3 linked regions of the Macaca mulatta genome follow. The protein of the gene in region 3 binds, or shares a complex with, the protein of the main gene of each other region. Links are inferred from orthologs where the notes say so. Each region holds a gene or a part of one and is shown on either strand. Other genes may lie near its edges.

Region 1 (7,175 bases), on a different chromosome or scaffold from region 3:
AGCCAATTGGAAACCTACTTATTCTTCAACTCCAATTTTGTTTTCTTTAAATTTAGAAGTGACTTACTGATTTACTATTTTAAACAAACCCCCCCTTTCCCCTTTAAATGTTTACCATCTACTCGTGCTGAATCCTTCCAAGGAGATTGCTCCAGCGTTTATCTCCAGGTCCTCGCTTTGCTCCTTTTACCAAAAAACGCAAAACACAATTCCATCGTGCATCTTAAGGGCTCCAATCGTCAAAAATAGGAAAAAAAAAAATCTTTGGAATAGCCAATTAAGTTGAATAAAAAAATCCACACGAATGCGGTTTGGTTGGGGCAGGAATCCACTCCTATGTTCCTGGTAATCTGATCCCGCTCCATGAATCCTGGTAATTCATCCTCCCTATCCTATCCACATTATGATTTGAATCCAATGATCCAGCTCCAAGGATTGGGATCCAGTGAGCCCTCTCCAATCCAAACCTTTATAACCAGCAAAACCAAAAAAGAGGAGGCAAAATGTTAGATACTGTAATCAAAAAAGGTTTCTGGGGAATGATGAGTTATGTCTGTCATCAGTTTAACAGATGCACATCAATAACTATCAAATTCCCCAAAACAAGTTTCTGAATGGTGTTCAGATAAATTTTAGAAACTTAATCATCATAGAGACTAATTGGAAGAAGCATTTTGTATTTACAGTTCAACTGATAATGCCAACACTTGTTACTGTACAGCGTATTACAGGTTTCGTGGTTGCAAGAAGTTACGTAATTTAAGTTTACTGGCATTGCTACCCACCTAAGTCTAAAACTATATCTAATGCTCCCATTTGCAATTTAATTTGTAAATTAAAGTCTTTTAAACATATGAATCAATTATGAATATTAGTTTAAAGGGGAAGGTGAGACTTAAAAGTATTCCCAACTAGATTATCTACACCAATACATTGGAACTCTATATTTTGCTTTCATTTTGTCTTAAAAAAATGAAATAGCAACGCTCTATCAGTCACACAGAGGACATGCAGATTTAGCAGTATTGATATTATACTCTATCTTGTTGGATTTAAAGACACCCTGTACCCACATGTACACCAACAGCAGGTCACACATTAACAGTTGTAACTAAGCACTGTGACAAATTAGCCAGTTCTTCCCACATTAGTCCCTATTAAAACAAAAATGGGGGGAAGGGAGCAAAATAAGTTGCTACAAAATGGGCAATATAATTTTGCCACAATTGCCAAGGTTTAAAGAGCAAAGCAATTGTAGCTAAAGATAACTGAATAAAATGTTTGCAAGTGTTTTAAGGAAAACGTATATAATCATTTTTAACCCCTGCCTTTTAGTATAAGGTCAATACTGCCAATTTCATCTGTGACAATAGCACTTGGAGTCATACCATTGCCTCCATTATTGATCTGATCCTCCTCAATCCTCCTTTTGACAATCCTAAAATGATTGAAATGTGCTCCACAATCCTTAATCCAAAGCATTCTTAATCCATCTCTTCAGATATGTCTACAGAAAGACACATGAAAAGCAAGATAAACATAAGAACTTCCCCAGGTAAGATAACCACAAACACCCCCAACATCCCAGTTCACACAAACCAGGGCAGAATAGACATTTACACAATATCACAGTCTGAAGAGTATGGAGTTAACTAAATTTAAACAATCCTGTCTATGACATCACTTAAAATACAATTTATCGAAGACACGAGGGGAATGTAGATGTTAGGAGCAAGGGGATATTACAAGAATGCAATTCAACACTTTAGCCCATTCTGAACAAAACAGTTTGAATTAAAAAATGAAAAGATTGTACTGAATAAAGGAAAACTGTATACAACATGGGTTCTACAAAAAGTGTCACCAATCATCTTATGTACGAGAGCGAGATCTGCTATGACGGGGAGAATAGCGTGGTGATCCTCTGCTTCTCCTTGGGGAGTAACTGCGACTCCTGCTGTTGCTTCTGCTACGGCTTCTGCTACGACTACGGCTTCGAGATCGAGATCTTCCATAACTTGGACTTCTGGGCCCATCAACTTTAACCCGGATGTAGGCAGTTTCTCCCTATTGGATAGACAGAACTTTCCATTGAAAGATCTAAGCTTTCATCTATCTTCAGGCATGCTGAATGCATACAATGCAACTACAACCAGAAATCTGGCAATTTACTTGGACACCCTTGCCTGAATTCTTACCTTCAAATTCCACTGTTAAGACCACTGTATCCAATTCTGGTCAAAGAAAAGAATAAGCGTATAACCTACCTCATGAGATCTAAACTTAGTGTTATCCAGTTTTCGAACTGCATAGGTCATATCTTCTTTCCGTACAAACTCCACGACACCAGTGCCATCTCGGTAAACATCAGCATAACATACATCACCTGCTTCACGCATGTGATCCTTTAAATCCTGCCAACTTCCACTTGGAGGCAGTCCTGAAAAAGTGATTTTTTTTCTTAGTATCAATTATCTTAAATTTCACGTTAAGCTGGTAAGGTACATTAGAACAAAGAGTACTTTAAAATACTTAATAGGTGTACTTAAGTGATACCAGGTAAAGAGCTGGTAAGATTCTGGGATCCAGAGTCCAAAATTATTTGTAACGGATCTTCGTATCTAGTACCGCAACCTAATTTGGTAAATCACCACAGCAGCAATCCTCGTTTATTAAATTCACCCAAAAACTAAAGCAATTTAAGACCTAGCATGAAAAATTTGCAATTGTTAAACCGATCATGCAAGACAAAAATTTTAGGTAGCTTCCGTCCCTTCACATCAATCCACACAACCAAGTACACTCACCAGAGACAACCACTCTGTTTTCAGACCGCCTGGATGGGGGGCCATAGCGACCTCGGGGAGCTCCGCCACCTCCACCCCCGCCGCCGCCTCGGCCTGTTCCACGGCCGCTTCGAGGAAACTCCACCCGCAGACGGTACCCATCGTAATCATAGCCGTCGCGACCATACACCGCGTCTTCCGCGTCTCTGCGGGATCGCAGAAAGTAAAAGGCATGAGAAAGACCAGGAGGAGAAGCTCGCTCAGTCGGGAACCCCCCGCACATGCGCACCCAACGTGGAAGAGCCCACATGCGCCGCATAATAGGAATGGCCCCTCCCCCACCCAGAAACACGCCAGGCTCCCAACCACTACACCAGCCCTCAGCGCCTCAGTTTCCCGCTCCAGCCTGCGAATGGGCTCCGGGGACGTCCAAGGCGAGGCGCCAGAGAAGCCACACCAACTCAGCTCCTTACTCGACTCCTGCATGGGCGATACAGTCTCGCCCCAACCTCTCTAAGAGCCCCCGCTTCCCCGTTCTCTATGTTAAGGCCTTGGAGCCTTCCCCGACTACTCGGACCTATTTCCTCAAGGCTGCAAGCCCCATGCCGCCTCACCGCGGGTCCTCGAACTCAACGAAGGCGAAGGGCGGTCCCCCGCGGCGATTCTTGAGGTCGATGTCGCGGATAGCGCCGTATTTGTAGAACACGTCCTCAATGTCCTTGGTTCGGATGTCTGGAGGTAAGTTACCCACGTAGATGCGGCAATCGTTGTTCCCTGCGGGGCCACGAATCACACCACCTCCCGACATGGCGGTGACGAAAAGCGCGGACTCGAGAACAGGCCTTCCCACCAAGCCTAGCGCACCGCAGAGCGAGCCCGCAGCGGCACCACGTCTCCCGCGGCCCCTCCAAAATGGCGCCTTTATCAGCTCGGCGCACGGATATGGGGGGGAGACAGAGGAAGAGAAGCGGAAGGAAACAGCGATTCGATCCCAACACGCACGCGCGGGAGCGCAACGGGTGCTGCGAGGGATACGCGCAACGCACGCGCACGCACGCGCGACGTCACCCTCCGCACGAAGGGGGAAAAAAAGTCCCCCGCGTTCCCCGCTTGGGGTGGTTTGCGAATAGAGTGAGCAGCCGTTTGGTAAAAGTTAAATAAAGAACTCTCGTTAAAGGAGCTAGTCATCCAGGTCGAGTCTTGAAGGATAGTCAATTTCCCCAGGAATGAGGAGCTTTGAAAGCAACTCGGCGCCTTCAAAGGACTTGGTGAAACCTAGCCTAAAGCCTTGTCCCACCATGCTCTGCGGCGATAACGGCCTTTGGCGGGAAAGAGACTCGGAGGCGGGGCTAAAGGGGGAGGGCTCGGGCCGTTGCTCCGGAAACCCGGGTATCTTCGTAGAGTGCGTCTAGTCCAGAGCTGAGTTGCCGGTGACTGAATAGAGAGCTGGGGCGTTGGTTTGTCTTCCCGCCCCTGCTGCGAACAAGCTGTGGCTGCTTAGACAGATGTGTCTAATTTAGCGAAACCGGTTTAGATTCCTTAATCCTTTTCATTAAGAACCATTCCACCTTCTCGTCAGAACTTTGCATAGCTCAGTTCAGCACTCTTTGTGCTAGTCGCAGTGGGCCCGTACCCCGACCTTTCAACGTGGTACCCGCCAACCAGAAGGGGTAACAGTACTGCTTCTGGTACCCACACCTCTTTATCTCTTGTTAATCGCCTATCCGTGGGACTAGCGCAGATTGCCTGCAGAATGAATTGTTTCTGTTGTTTCCTTTTAAAGAACGAGAAGGAAGAAAAGGTGCGTGTGTGCAGTCCTTTTTTCAAAAGTTTCCTCTAAAAGTTACTGAAATTGAAAATACCGGTCCTCCCAGGTAATAAAATGGACCGAAATGGATGAGAGCCGTGTCCACTAGAGACCGCGGTTGCTATTCAGGACTGTGATCTTATTTGCCTGCGACATTGGGAGATAACATTTTACATTTTTTTTCGACGTCTGCAATCTGGATTTTTATGTGAAATCCTGGGATTTTTAAACGTCGCTAATGAATTCAAATTAAAATTAGGCTGGGCGCGGTGGCTCACGCCAGCACTTTGGGAGGTAGAGGCGGCAGATCACTTGAGGTCAGGAGTTCGAGACCAGCCTGGCCAACATGGTGAAATCCCGTCTCTACTGAAAAAAAAAAAATTAGCCGGGCTTGGTGGCGGGCGCCTGTAATCCAGCCTACTCGGGAGGCTGAGGCAGGAGAATCGCTAGAACCCTGGAGGTGGAGGTTGCAGTGAGCCGAGATCGCGCCATTGCGCTGCAGCCTGGGCTACAGAGTAAGACTCCTCCTAAAAAAAAAAAAAAAAAAAAAAAAAAAAAAAGGAGGGGGAAACAACAACAAAATCAAATCCTGCAGTCATAAATTTGCGATAACAGATCTACACCGTGAATTTCAGGGATAATGTTCTTCATGTTATTTACAGCAGTCCCTCTCCGCAAGGATGTGAGGCAATTTACAGAGATACCATAAAACATTATTAAAAGTAGATGAGGCTGGGCGTGGTGGCTCACTCCTGTAATCTCAGCACTTTGGGAGGCCGAGGCGGGCGGATCACCTGAGGTAAGGAGTTTGAGACCAACATGTCGAAACCCGTCTCTTCTAAAAATACAAAACATTAGCCGGGCATGGTGGCCCATGCCTGTAATCCCAGCTACTCGGAAGGGTGAGACAGGACAATCTCTTGAACCCTTAGGAGGTGGAGGCTGTAGTGAGCGGAGATCATGCCACTGCACTCCAGCCTGGGCGACAGAACAAGACTCCATCTCACACACACACAAAAAAAAACTAGAGGAATGGGAAAATAAGGGGTGGATTAAATGAAATAAGCATAAATTACTATACAAAATGCCTGCAGTGAAAGCCTGTTGAATTTGTTGAGATAGACTGCAAATTTTACTTTAGTCTTCGCAGAAGTCGCGGTAAAGAAGGGTACACCAGTATTGTGTATTCAAAATCCAAAGTGCCTTTGGGATAAAAATAAATAGGTCATTCAGGAGAAGGACATGTTTTCTTAATTCTAAAAGCTGATGAAATGTATTTTACAAATGTCTCTCGGTGACCCCAAAATACATACTCAATTTGAAATGAGCAGGGATGCTTGGTCTTGTGCCTGAAGATCCTCAGTATATCCACAGATGACCTTTGGTAATCCTTGAGCTTTCTGTAATGTTTTCCAAAATTATATGCATGTATGCATGTACAAAATTATATGCATGTGCGTACTTTTTTCTGGGAAGAGGATTTGAAATTTTAATCAACTTCTTAAAGGAGTCCATAGATCCCAAAAGGGAAAAGAACTTCTGAAAATTGTCAAGGGAGGGATAGATTGCCTATCCTTCAGACCATCCTTCAAGTATATATATAGGGGTGTGTGTGTGTGTGTGTGTGTGTGTGTGTGTGTGTGTGTATATATATATATTTTTTTTTTTTTTGAGACAGAGTTGCCCTCTGTCACCCAGGCTGGAGTGCAATGGCGTGATCTCAGCTCAGTGCAACCTCTGCTTCCCTGACTCAAGCCATTCTTGTGCCTTGGCCTTCTGCGTAGCTGGAATTACAGACATATGCCACCATGCCTAGCTAATTTTTGTATTTTTAGTAGAGACGGGGTTTCGTCATGTTGGCCATGCTGGTCTCGAACTCCTGGTCTCAAGTGATCCTTTGGCCTTGGCCTCCCAAAGTAGTGGGATTACAGGCATGAGCTCCCGCACCCGGCCAATTTTTTTCTTTGAGACAGGGTCTTGCTCTGTCACTCAGGCTGGAGTGCAGTGGTGCAATCACAGCTCACTGCAGCCTCGACCTCCTGGACCCAAGCCATCCTCCCACCTCAGTCTCCTACGTAGCTGAGACTACATGTATGCACCACCACTTCAGACTGATGTTTGTATTTTTTGTAGCAATGGGGTCTCGCCATGTTGCCCAGGCTGCTTTTGAATTCCTGAAGTCAAGCGATCCTTCCATCTCGGCCTCCCAAAGCGGGGGGATTACAGGCATGAGTCACTGTGCCTGGCCAGAGCCTGATATGTTTTTAAATGAGAAAGTGACCAAAAAAGATACTATTTCAACAAATCTACTGTTTCTAGCATTGTTTCATTAAGTGAGTGGCAGAAAAGAGGAGAGTTTTTAAAAACTTGCAGCCTGTTGATTCTTTCAACAGTTATTTGCTGAACACATTTATGTTCTTTTATCCATCAATTTAAATTTATGCAGGCAAAGTTTCTGTTAATTAATGATAAGTCAATGATAACTGAAGTAATAACTGAAATCCATAGTTTATAATTGAATAGTTCATTTTAAGAAGGGATGAGACAATACATAGGTACTTTTAATTTCAAGGTATTTTCAT
Region 2 (6,584 bases), on a different chromosome or scaffold from region 3:
ACTAAGTAGCCTGGGAAGGCAAAAACACCTACTTGTTTACCCTCTGAGAAAGGCTTCCTGGACAAGGACTGGCTCAACATGATAGGAGTCAAAATGGGTTTCTTGCTCTCCTGAAAGCTGTGATAAAAATTAGAAGTCATCAAAGAATTTCAATCACGTCCCACTGCATCTTCAGCTTGAATGATTTTCCAGAATTGATTTTCATTTCCTGAATGAAATGGAGTCAGGTAATACCAACTTGGTATTTGCCTCCCATCTCATTTCTCTGGGTCCCAAGCTCTGAACAGCCCAAGTATAGCAATACAGTTCCCAAGGGGTCAGTGAAACTACAAAGAGATCTGTAGTTCAAGATACAGTTGGTACTGATCAGAGGGACATTGGGGTCTTAAAGTCATTGAGGGGTGGAATTGTTAATGACCACTGTGATCCAGACAAAAATCTAAGACATCAGCACACAATGCCACAGGTGCTCAGAATCCTCATGAGAGGTGCAAGGTATTGTAAACATGTGGTTTGGACTTTAATAGAAAACTTAAACTACTTGTTATGGGAACAAAGGGGAGGCGATCAGGGATCATAAAGGAAGCTGCTCCTTAAAGTTGTTTGGGGAACTGTGATGGGTCTCAAAACATGGTCTTGAGACCAGCAGTATCAGCACATTCTCAAGCAACATCCCAAAACTACTGAACTGTAAACTCTAGGGATGGGGCCTAGAAATGAATGTTTAAACAACCCCTGCAGATGATTCTGATGCACATGAAAAGTTTGAGAACGCTGGTTTAAGATAAGCTTTAGATGCCCTAAAATACACCTGAGAGTGTTTAGAGAATCTCCTAATGAATTCATGGAGGAGACAATTTATTTCCTTAACATAAGCCTGCTTCTTTTTTATGTTTTGTTTTTGACACATAATTGTAAGCCTACTTCTTTTTTAACATACAAAGGTGCCTTCTAGTTTGTGATGAAATACAAAGGATTATTTATTCGCTTTCACTTCTTTGGATTTTAGAGAATACTATCTTGGTAAGTGGCTCCAAAAGTAGCTCAATAGTCCTGTAGACATGGTAAGTTTTTTTAAAAAAGAAGAAAATGTTCAACTTTAATATTAATCAAAAAAATACAAATTAAAATTGCAATGAGATATCATTTCTCAACTAACAGACTGGCAAAGATCACAAAGAATAATGTGCATCAATAAGGAGGGCATAAGGGGGAAAATAAAGCACACACTCCAGGTAAAAAGATAAAGTACCAGAATCTTGCTGGTAACACAAATCAGAAGCCTTAAAAATGAGTGTATCTTTGACTCAGCAATCCCATTTCTAGGGATATATCTTAGAAATAATTAATGATATATGCAACAATGAACATATAAAGATGCTAAATATATTGTTTATAATTTTAAAATTAAAAATTTTAATTTTGAGGGAATTATAAAGTCAATCAGCGTGCCCATATGACAGAACATAATAAAAATCAATCAGCACAAGATTTTTTCCAGTTTTTAAAAGGAAGATTTATTTAACAAGTTTCACTTAGTACAATACATCTAAATGGAAATCACAATACAAGGAAAGATTTAAACCAAAGCCTCAGAATTTCATACAAACAACACGACCAAACTTCTAAAGTATTGGTATTACATCTTAAAATTGTCCCGTATCCTTCAAAAAAAAAAAAAAAAAAAAAAAAAAAGTGTACACTCACGTGCCTTACAGGATATTAAACCAAAAAGCTAGAATTAACAAACATGCCAAATGTTTTCACTTTGAATCGTAGACACAGCTCCTATATTTGAGTTTTACAGAAAAGCATGTTTCTCAACATGCATCCGAAGTTTTCAATGTATTTGTGGTATAAGAGCAACATTTAACATAAGTGAAACTGCATTAACCTAAATACGCTTACTGCTTAGGTACACTCCTACAACATAACTAACTTGAGGAAAGCTAAAAATTGTTTTAACAGTTATGGTCAATACTGAACTTTGTTATTATGTCCTAGATGAATGTTTCAGTGTTCAAAATTACTGAGCTTGAAGTTTTAAAATAATCTCAACTTCCACTTTACAGTAAGCATGAATCACAAGCCTGTAATGCAAAACTGTTAAACTTAACTCTTGTTTTCTTAAAAAAGGAGAAAGAAAGATAAAGAAAGAGAAGCTGACCAAGAGTGATCAGAATCAATTATATTTCCCATTTACCAATCATACTGGATATACTAGACATCCCTCCCATTCTATTCAACTCCCACAAATGTACAGCTTTTATATATGGAGTAGCTGTTTGGTGCTCCTTCTCTACCTAAGCAAGGTTTGACTGATAGTCACTGGAATTTTCCTGCAGAACTTGGTCATATCCACTCATACTGCTCTGACCACCATAACCACCTCCATAACCACCACTCAGCTGCTGGCTAGCAGGACCTCCATAACTAGACTGGTTGGATAAGCCCATCCCTCCCATCATTTGGCTACCATAAGCCCCACCACTTGCCCCTGCTGTAGAATTCAAAAAAAGTTCTACATAGCTGTGATCGTAAGCACCCCCACTTGTTCCTGCAGTAGAATTTAAGAAGAGCTCCACATATCTATGTTGCATATTAGCTTTGTCTTTTGCCATAGCTGCCACAGCATCTTCATGAGTAGCAAATTCAACATCTGCCTCACCAGTAACTCTGCCATCGGGTCCAATTTCAATATGTACTCTCATGGGATTAAGAGGTGAGAAGAAATTATAAATATCATTCTCAGTGGCTCTGTAAGGTAACCCCCTCATGTGTACACAGTGCCCTGTGGTGCTCTGGAAACTGGACCCACCATCTCCATATCTATGATCAGACATTCCTGAAAAACAGTAATTGAGGTCTCTTCCAAATCTATCAGACCCAAAGCCATATCCATCATTATAGCCACCATAGTCATCATAGCCTCCATACCCTCCACCGTAGGCACCACGCCTCATCCTTTCAAACCCAGCTCCTCTGCCAATGCTATTATACCCTCTGCCAGCCCCCGGCCTATCATAGGGACCTGGCCGCTGCATAGCCATGAGCTTTCGAGGGGGATCATAGTGGGTTCGAACTTCAGCTCGGCTACTCTTGAAGATCTCAATGTACCTGTGCCCTATTCTTTCCTTGTGTTTCTTTAAGGCCTTCTCAGCTATCTCCTGCGAAGCAAACTGCACAAAGGCTTCCCCTGTGCTTCGCCCCTGAAAGTCCACTGGCAGTGTCATCCCATTTGGCACAATTTCCAACCCTGAAAAGAACTGAACAATCTCTTCCTTGCTACAGCCAAATGGGAGTCCTCTAAGCCGGACGAAGCCATCGTTGGCAGTATCAGGGCTATTCGGACCTGTATGCTTCAACACCCAATCCATTTCAACACTGTTAGACTTGAATACTTCAACGTATCTGTGTCCCATGGTTTCTCTGTCCTTCTTCAAAGCCAATTTCACTTCCTCTTCAGATTCAAGTTCAACAAATGCTTCACCACTTGGTCTGCCTTCTCTGGTGTAGATGAAACGAATACCTGATGTGCCATTTTGGATCTTGCAATCAGAGAAGAAGCGCATCACTTCATCGGCTGAGCAGGACCAGGGTAGGCCCCTGACCTTCACCACGAACCCCTCCCTGCCTTCCGTGCTCAGCATCATGGTGACTGTTGGGCTCTTGGTGGCAAGTTTGGCTCAATGCAATTTTAGTGTAGCTGAAAAAAAAAATTAGAAGACTACTGTCATGGAAAAATGCCCGTGATATAGTAAGATAAAAAAGCAAACTATTAATAGAAAATTCAACTATGCTGACAGCTTTTCTGTAAGATGTCTGTATAAACAAAGAGTTCACCAAATTTTTAACTCATTCATTTTTTAAGTTATTTATTCAATGCCTATTACATGTTGGATACCATTAAAAATTAATAGCAATCGGCCGGGTGTGGTGGCTCACGCCTGTAATCCCAGCACTTTGGGAGGCTGAGGCGGGTGTACCACCTGAGGTCAGTAGTACCACCTGAGGTCAGGCGGGTGTACCACCTAGAGGTCAGAGACCAGCCTGGCCAACATGGTGAAACCCTGTCTCTACTAAAAATACAAAAAATTGGCTGGGCGTGGTGGCAGGCGCCTGTAATCCCAGCTACTTGGGAGGCTGAGGCAGGAAAACCACTTTTATGTACCCAGGAGGTGGAGGTGAGCCGAGATCACGCCACTGCACTCCAGCATGGGCCACCAGAGCGAAACTAAGTCTCAAAAAATAAATAAATAAATAAAATAACATCAACAAATCAGTGGGATAGGTCAACAAATAAAAGATAGCTATATCTGAATATACACACATAAAAAACTTCACTAGATCAAAAGATTAAACAACAATTAAAACATTAAAACACAAACAAAACACAGGTTATATACGTTCTTTATATAATCTCCTTATATACAAATGTATGCAAATCAATAAAATCAGGGAAATATTTGGGCTTCAGAGATAAATGAAAAAAAGACATTATTGGGAATTCACACATTCATTTTAGAAATATTTTTTAGTTGCCATGTCCAATACTCAGCTCTGGCATACAAGAATCAATAAGCCCAGAAAGGGCTTATGATCCTACAGGAGCACCAAATATCATTATTAAAGATGTAAATGCAAATATACATTATACTTGCCATGACCCTCTGGGTGGGGTATAAGCATAGTATCAAGGAGGGACTAGTTGATCAGTTCTATTGGTTGGAGGTCAAATGGTTAAATGAAACAGACTAACCTGCCCAGGGATCCATAAACGATTTTTTAAAATTATGATAAAGCACAAATAGGAGAGGGAAAAGCAAGAGAAAAGGCTGGCAAGGCATAGATCAGATCCCAAAGACTTTTATGCAGTGCTTAGTTAAGACTGCATAAAAAAACTGGAAAAATAACATGGAAAATCCATAAACCTACCACTCAGAGTAACCACTAATATGTTCATTCTAACTTAAAAAAATCCCAGTGCAGCAAATTTAAAGAATTAAAACTGTATAGAAGTATATACACACTATATACACTAAGCACCTTTTAAGACTTTTAAACCGGGGAGTTTGTGGGGTGACTTCACCAAAACTCTTTCAGACAGATCACCCCGGCAACAGTGTGGTACTCAGAGGTGGAACTAGGGAGATTAGTTAGAACTTGTCTCTTAAATATACGTTAAAGGAATCGCCTAAGGCAACAGGAGTAAAATGGAGAAAAGCTATATCTACACATACCAAAAAAAGTGGAATCTGCGGGACTTGATAACAGATTAAGTATGAGAGAATACAGGTATAGGAGGATACAGGAGAGCAATCTGGGAAATGTTCAAATTTAATCAATCTTCCAGTAAGTTAAAACCAGAACTAATCATTATTTTTCACCCATCAAGATTATGGAAATTAAACGGTGACAGTAAATCAGTGCTATGCAGAGTTCACAAACTAATAATACACTACTAGAGGAGTGGTAATTGATATAAACTATTTCCTTTTTGATAAATCCCACTATATCCTGAAAGCAATTTGATAATATGTATCACGCCTTTTGACAGCAAATACATTTCAGTTATGTGCCCTAAGGAGATGATCTGAAATTCAGACAAAGATTTATGGAGCTATATATTCTTTGAAAAGTACTTTATTAAGAAAACTGGAATATTATGCATTTAATTTTAAAAGTTACAAAAATATTTAATAACATGAGAAATTACTTATGCTATAATTATAAGTGACCCAAGAGCACAGCTGCTTTACAATCTCAACTATGTACAAAATACATATTCCCATACCCTTTGACACTGCTAGAATCCTTCCAGGAATCTAGTCAACAGAAATACTTAGGAATGTTCCTTGCAGCACTGTTAGTAAAGGCAGAACATTGGAAAGCTAAATAGCCATCATTAGAGGAATGGCTGAATGAATTATACCTTATCCTTAAAATGGAATGCAATGCAGCCATTTAAAAAAAAATCTATCTGCCTTGACCCAGAAAGATCTCCAAAATACACTAAATGAAAGAACATACATAGTATGATCCTACTTATAGTAAAAGATTAGCATGCATGTATATACGTATGTAAATAAATAAAAGAAGATCTGGAAGCAAACTTGTTTTTGAGAGAACTGAAGGGTAGGGGGAGTGAAGTGGGCTTTTCGCTTTTTACCCTATATACTTCTATACAGTTTTAATTCTTTAAATTTGCTGTACTGGGATTTTTTTTAAGTTAGAAAGAACATATTAGTGGTTACTCTGAGTGGTAGGTTAATGGATTTTCCATGTTATTTTTCCAATTTTTTTATGCAGTCTTAAATTTCTACAGAAATAATTACTTTTACTTCAGCAAAAAAGCAACATAAAACAAATTAAAATGTTTGCATTTCTGGGATTTGGTATAGGAAATTTTATAAAATTGTCCAATTTTGAATGTGGATGGTTATCTGATATGGTCTGTGAGCATTGGGCCTCTTGGAAACAAAGTACAAAGTGTAATAACGGCCATAAAACTACACTGAGGAAACGATTTAACATTTACTGATTGCATATTAAGTGCCTAGCAGACTGCATCTGCAGTGATAACA
Region 3 (6,455 bases):
TGAGCAGGGCCAGGCTGCTGCAGCTGTCTCACCTGCAGAGTGGACATGGAAGCTTGCCACCGGGGGCCTCATTGCTCGAGTGGGAAATTAAGGCCAGCCAGGCCCCAACAAAGCAGTTTCTAGGCCTCTCGGGCTACCCCACCTACCTGCCTATTCATCTACCAGGTCACCAAGACTGTCAAGACGGTGACCACTCGGACAGTACGCCAGGTGCCTCTGGGCCCAGACGGACTCCCCCTGCTGGATGGCGGCCCCCCACTAGGCCCTTTTGCCGATGGTGCCCTGGACCGGCATTTCCTGCTGCGTGGTGGTGGCCCGGCGGCCACACTCTCTCGAGCCTACCTCAGCAGCGGGGCTGGCTTTCCCGAAGGCCCCGAGCTCCGGGACAGTTCCAGCTATGGCAGCCTGTCCCGAGGGCTGGGTGTGCGGCCCCCACGTGCTGGCCCCCTTGGCCCAGGCCCTGGTGATGGCTGCTTCACACTGCCTGGCCACCGGGAGGCCTTCTCAGTGGGTCCTGAGCCTGGGCCACCAGGTGGCCGCTCCCTGCCCGAGCGCTTCCAGGCAGAGCCGTATGGCTTGGAGGATGACACGCGCAGCCTGGCCGCTGATGACGAGGGTGGCCCTGAGCTGGAGCCTGACTATGGCACGGCCACGAGGAGGAGGCCTGAGTGTGGGCGGGGCCTTCACACCAGGTGAGCTGCACCCCGTTCCCTGTGGCTACCTCCTCTGGGAAGTCCACCCTCCACCCAACTACAGAGTGCCCCACTTGTCAAGTGGCTGCAGTTGAGTTAGTCATGTACGTTAGTTTGAATTGGCCTTGGCTCTTGTCAGGGAGAGAAGAAAGGTGGACCCTGGGGTGGTAGGAGTTCGGCTGGACACCATCCTGCAGGCCCAGGGCCTAGGAAAAGCTGGGAAGAGTGCCGACCACCGGCCTTGCTCATCCACACTCTGGGTAACCAGAACCCAGAGCCCTGGCCCTTGTCACAGCCCATGATTCTGTCCCCATTGCCCTCAGTTTCTGCATCTCTGGAGTGGGGACGTGACCACAGCCCGGGTCTGGATTCTGTTGTGTGACCCTGGCCAAGTCACCTGACCACTCCTAGCCTCAGGGCAGTGGGTTTGATGACAGCAACCCACAGGGCTACTGAGAGTTAAGGAGATCTTGTGCCCCAAGGGCCTGGTGGCCTGAACACCCCTCGGGTGGTCCTACTGGGATGGCTTCATGTGGAGAGAGCCATCTACCCCCTCTCCATCCTGACACAGCCAGAGATGGGCCTCATGGAAGATGGGGTGGTTTCGTGGAAGGGAGGTGGGTCTCTCCAGCAGCCCTAGCACATATCGCACAGAAACATGTTTTGCTTGGGATCGGGGAACACTGCCTGGTGACAGCAGTGAGTGAGCTTGCTGTCCTGGGAGGGTTGCCTGGGTCCTGATAGCCTCTGGCTGGGGTTTGGCATTTGGCTATGAATTGGTTCTCACTGGGCTGGTGCATGACTCTCTGTGTCCCCACCATGCTTCGGGCGGAGATGCAGGTGCTCTCAGCCCAGCCCTGCTGGGTGAGTTTGCAGTCCTGAAGAACGTGTCATGGGGCAGCTCAGAGGTGGGGCTGGCGGCTGCTGTGACGATGTCCACGCACCCCACTTGCCTGTGCAGGGCCTACGAGGACGCGGCAGTTGATGGCGGCGAGCTGACAGATGAACGGCCTGCGTTCCCAGCGGTGACGGCGCCCCTGGCCCAGCCTGAACGGGGCAGCCTGGGCAGCCTGGACCGGCTGGTGCGGCGCTCGCCCTCAGTGGATAGCGCCCGCAAGGAGCCGCGCTGGCGGGACCCTGAGCTGCCTGAGGTGCTGGCCATGCTGCGGCACCCCGTGGACCCCGTGAAGGCCAATGCGGCCGCCTACCTGCAACATCTGTGCTTTGAGAACGAGGGTGTCAAGCGGCGTGTACGGCAGCTGCGGGGGCTGCCACTGCTTGTGGCGCTGCTGGACCACCCGCGGGCTGAGGTGCGGCGCCGGGCCTGTGGGGCACTGCGCAACCTCTCCTATGGCCGTGACACTGACAACAAGGCCGCCATCCGGGACTGTGGTGGTGTGCCTGCCCTGGTGCGCCTGCTGCGGGCCGCCCGGGACAACGAGGTCCGCGAGCTTGTCACTGGTGAGTGGGACCTGGCCATGCCCACATCCCCTGGGAAGAGAAGAGTGCGAGGCTCAGCACGGGAGGAACGAGGCCACACGGCCTGCGACCGCCTGGGAGAGTGCCCGGTGGGCAGGAGTGCAGCCACTGAGACGCTTGCCCCAGGAGCCAGTCATCAGGCCCAGATGCTGTGACAGGCTCCCCAGTCTCTACCATAGGCAGGAGGCAGACAGTGGGCCCCTCAGGCATGTCCCCTCACCTCCTGCCCCCACAGAAACTCCCCTGGGACCTGCCTCCTTGGTTCCCACCCCAACAGTGCAGTGGTGGGGCTTGTGCCTTGTGGGACCTGAGGGACAGGTAGGGTCACCTGACCGTGTCTCTGTGAGGCCCTGTGGCCTCAGGAGTGTTAGTGCCACCTGCCGTGTGGCAGGGAATGGGTGGGACGGGACAGTACTGCCACACCCTTCTCTGCACCTCCTCCCCTTTGGGGTTCCTTCCTAGCTGGAAACCAGTACTGGTGTCCCTCAGAACCACTCACGGCTTTTGTTACTTCCTACTGTTCTGTGTGAGCTGGGACATGAGGAGAGTGGGACAGGTCCTGGGCGTGGCCACCTGGGGAGGTAGGCGGGCGGTGCATATGGTCAGCACGGGTTGGCCAATCGCACCCCACAGGCACACTGTGGAACCTGTCGTCATATGAGCCCCTGAAGATGGTCATCATTGACCATGGCCTGCAGACACTGACCCATGAGGTGATCGTGCCCCACTCAGGATGGGAGCGTGAGCCCAACGAGGACTCCAAGCCACGGGATGCTGAGTGGACAACTGTCTTCAAGAATACGTCGGGCTGCCTGAGGTGTGGACCAGGCCTGGTGCTAAAGCCTCAAGCACACCAGGCCCTGTCCTTGTGGTCCCAGATAGTGTGGAAGATGGCAGCAAGCTTAGGAGCACCAGAGCCTGGGAGCTTCAGAGCTGTGGCACAAGTCCTGTGGATGAGAAGTGGGGCCTGATGGGGCTGTACTCACCCCCAAGTGGTGCCCTAGTCTTCCCAGGGGCACCCTCTGGAGGGGTCTGTGTGGTACCATAGCCCTGCTTAGCTCTCACCTACCTTCCCATCACTTGACAGCCAGAGGGGAGCTGGGACCTCCCTGTTCATCTGCCTGGGAGGCTCATACCAGCCACCTGTGACCTCTGCCCTTCCCCTCCTACCCCTGGGAAGCCCTGCTGACTCCACAGAGTCCTGGGTCCCCACAGTCTTGCTTGTCCATCAGGGTGTTCCCCCGCAGCCCTGCAGGCTCTTGACCTTGGGGTAAGGTGGGGCCTAGAGCTGCCATTGGGGTGGCGAGGGACCCAGAATTGCCTATGCATAGGTTCAGGTCTCTCTGAGTCTACCTGTCCCTTTCTAGGTCAGCTGGGAGGCAGGAAAGCCCTGTCTTCCCCTGCCCAGCTATCCCCAGCCAAGACAGCTGTCTGCCAGGGCTCCCCTCCTGAGGCCGGGGGCAGTTCGCTTCTCCCACTTCGCTGAGCTCCAGGCTGTGGCGTCCTTTCCCAATAGTGCTAGGAGGGCAGCAGCAAGGGCCTGTTTTGCAGATGAAGACAAGCCCATGAGGCCAGAGTGGGGCTGGGGAGTTTGTGATAGCCAGGGGTCACCTGACCTGCTCTTGGCCACACAGGAATGTGAGCTCTGATGGTGCTGAGGCCCGGCGGCGACTCCGGGAGTGTGAAGGGCTGGTGGACGCGCTCCTGCATGCCCTGCAGTCGGCAGTGGGCCGGAAGGACACGGACAACAAGGTGGGCAGGGACGGTCACAGCCTCATACCAAGGGCTGGAGAGACGATCATGCAGGTCCCGGGAGGCTGGAACTGTGGGAACAGCACAGGGGAATGGGTTTGTGGGTCTGGGGCGGCGTTCTGGGCATGGCCTGCCTCACAGTGACCACACTGAAGTAGGCACTGTCCTGCAGGCAGAAGATGCTCCATGAGGCAGGGGCTTCCTCCCATGGACCCTCCCTGGTGGTTACCGCCCTTTTGTCCCCCCGACTGAGGCCTCCCTGTCCCTTTGCTCCTGGTGCCTTCATGCACACCACCTGTGGCCAGTCTTTCCTGAGGGCTGGCCCTGTGCCTAGGGTGCCCTGCCCCAGCCACTCACCTCTCCCTGCAGTCGGTGGAGAACTGCGTGTGCATCATGCGGAACCTGTCCTACCACGTGCACAAGGAGGTGCCCGGGGCCGATAGGTACCAGGAGGCCGAGCCCGGGCCCCTGGGCAGTGCTGTAGTCTCCCAGCGCCGGAGGCGGGATGATGCCAGCTGCTTTGGTGGCAAGAAGGCCAAAGGTGGGTGGGGCGGACCGGGGTACCATCTCAACTCCTGCCCCAGCTGAAGGCTCTCTGTACACCCACAGCAGCCCATCATGGAGGCCAGAGGACATCTGCACAGCCCCCAACAGGCAGGCAGGGAAGCTGGGAGCCAAGGAGGCTGGGCTGCCCTGGGTCACATGGTTGACGGGGCCCAGGGTTGGGGGCCCAGGTCCAACCTTCCCCATCTACACTGTGGGACCTGCAGGGAGTACACAAGGGAAGCCTGGTGGTCCTACTGATGCCCAGACCCAGTCTCTATTCCGGGGAGAGTTCCACTCGCCCATGAGTTGAGAAAGAGCCATGGCTATTGCTGCCTGCTGACTGTTTACAGAATAGCTGTAGACTGCGTCCAACCTGTGGGGCAGTCACCCATCTGCCTGGGCAAGATGCCCTGCACACCTTCTCTACCGCACTAGCGGGGTGTAGGTTCCCGGGACCTCCCCAGCAGCTGTGGGCGACCTGTGCACCACCTGCCCCTGCCCCACTGACCCTAGGCCTCCTCCTCGTCCCACTGGTGGGTGCTCAGCACCCAGAAGTGATGGGATGAGGTTCCACATGCTGCTTGCTTGATCCAGGCTGTGCAGTGGGAACCTGAGGCCTCTGGGAGGGCATTGGGGGGGGGTGATGAGTGCTGCCTGCTCAGGCTCCTCTCCTCTCTCCTCTGCTTCCTCCGGCTGCCCAGAGGAGTGGTTCCACCAAGGTGAGTCCCTTTTTATCCTGCTCTCCAGGCCTGGCATGTGCAGTGGGCACCTGGGAAGAGGCAAGCACATTCCAGCCCCAGGGCCCTGCCCCACCCTTGGCTTCATCACTCGGGCTGCCATCTTTATGACAGTGGCAGGTGGGAAGGCCAAGGGGCTCATTTTATAACCTCAGACTTGCCTACCTGGGCAGAGCCGGGCAGAGCCAAGAGTGGGCAGGGCCCGGGGATACTTGTCTCTAGGGGCACCAGGGAGCAGTCTGTTTCTCTGATAGAATGGGGCAGCATGTGGCTCAAAGGGATACAAGGGTCCCGTGAGGGTGAGCAGGGCAGGGACCTCAGGTCATCTGGCTCCACTCTGCTGCCTTGTGAGGGGGTAGAAGTGTCATCTGAGATGGGAGTGTGGCTGAGAGACAGTGGGCTCACTGTCACAAAGGTGTGCAAACCAGGGCTGCACAAATGTTAGGTGGGCTGCTGTGGGGTTTCTCCTGGCTAGTAGATCCTGGGACAATGTCCTGACCCCAGACTGGGGGAGTTTCCCCCTAGTTCTGCCTTACTGTGTGACCCAAGCGAGTCTTGTCCCGGTCAGCCTTCAGTTTCTCGGCTTGTATCCACCTGCCATCCAGCCAGGGCTCCTGGCTTCGTCGGTCTACATACCTGGCAGTTGCAAGGAAGCCACCGGGAGGGTCTGTGGTACAGCTTCCAGCACCTGGTGGGAGATGAGTCCTGGGATGTCCCCAGGCCCCATTGCCACCAACTCCTACCCCTAAACTGCCCAAACTCTGACAGTGGTGCTGCATTCTCACAGGTGCCCAGGCCTGGACATGGGGGTGCCTTTTGGGGCCTGGGTAGGAGAGAACTGTGCCCAACCCTTCTGACACACCCATGCCCCATATGGGGTCTGCGTCACCTCCTACACCACCTTTCCCTTCCAGGAAAGAAGGATGGTGAGATGGACCGGAACTTTGACACGCTAGACCTGCCCAAGCGAACTGAGGCTGCTAAAGGTGAGTGGGCTGAGATGAAGCCAGCTCCGCTGGGGGATGTCTGGGCTCAGGATTGCCCTGGTAGTGGAGCTTTGGGCCATCAAGCAGGCCTGGAGGGCCTCAGGGAACAGATGGGGAAACAGGCCCATAGGTGCAGGATTTCCTGGAGGATTATTCAGCACTGGGACACCTGCTGAGGGTTTAGAATGGGAGGCAGTGCCATGGGTCATGTCAGGCAAGGTTGGGGGAGGAGACAGGCACAGAGAGGCCAGGGGCTTGCTCAG

The links.
Region 1: ARVCF (region 3) and SRSF1 share a complex: the UniProt entries of both Homo sapiens proteins name them as parts of the ribonucleoprotein complex. The link is inferred for Macaca mulatta from reciprocal best matches to the Homo sapiens genes ARVCF and SRSF1.
Region 2: ARVCF (region 3) and HNRNPH2 share a complex: the UniProt entries of both Homo sapiens proteins name them as parts of the ribonucleoprotein complex. The link is inferred for Macaca mulatta from reciprocal best matches to the Homo sapiens genes ARVCF and HNRNPH2.

The regions. Positions count from the first base shown.
Region 1 is NC_133421.1:51,980,183-51,987,357, reverse strand, and holds the start of SRSF1 (serine/arginine-rich splicing factor 1), read right to left. Parts: upstream 3,798-7,175; 5' UTR 3,595-3,797; coding exon 3,401-3,594; intron 2,993-3,400; coding exon 2,808-2,992; intron 2,441-2,807; coding exon 2,268-2,440; intron 2,085-2,267; exon of another isoform or gene 2,068-2,084; coding exon 1,873-2,067; 3' UTR 1,508-1,872; coding exon of another isoform or gene 1,469-1,507; 3' UTR 366-1,468; coding exon of another isoform or gene 303-365; 3' UTR 184-302; coding exon of another isoform or gene 116-183; 3' UTR 1-115. Other genes in the region: uncharacterized protein LOC144335563, read right to left, coding at 116-183, 303-365. UniProt on the Homo sapiens protein: Plays a role in preventing exon skipping, ensuring the accuracy of splicing and regulating alternative splicing.
Region 2 is NC_133426.1:108,300,374-108,306,957, reverse strand, and holds the end of HNRNPH2 (heterogeneous nuclear ribonucleoprotein H2), read right to left. Parts: intron 3,728-6,584; exon of another isoform or gene 3,707-3,727; 5' UTR 3,654-3,706; coding exon 2,304-3,653; 3' UTR 1,487-2,303; downstream 1-1,486. UniProt on the Homo sapiens protein: This protein is a component of the heterogeneous nuclear ribonucleoprotein (hnRNP) complexes which provide the substrate for the processing events that pre-mRNAs undergo before becoming functional, translatable mRNAs in the cytoplasm. Binds poly(RG).
Region 3 is NC_133415.1:32,713,661-32,720,115, forward strand, and holds part of ARVCF (splicing regulator ARVCF), read left to right. Parts: intron 1-165; coding exon 166-692; intron 693-1,532; coding exon of another isoform or gene 1,533-1,653; coding exon 1,654-2,153; intron 2,154-2,804; coding exon 2,805-2,988; intron 2,989-3,805; coding exon 3,806-3,923; intron 3,924-4,292; coding exon 4,293-4,464; intron 4,465-5,170; coding exon 5,171-5,188; intron 5,189-6,120; coding exon 6,121-6,192; intron 6,193-6,455. UniProt on the Homo sapiens protein: Contributes to the regulation of alternative splicing of pre-mRNAs.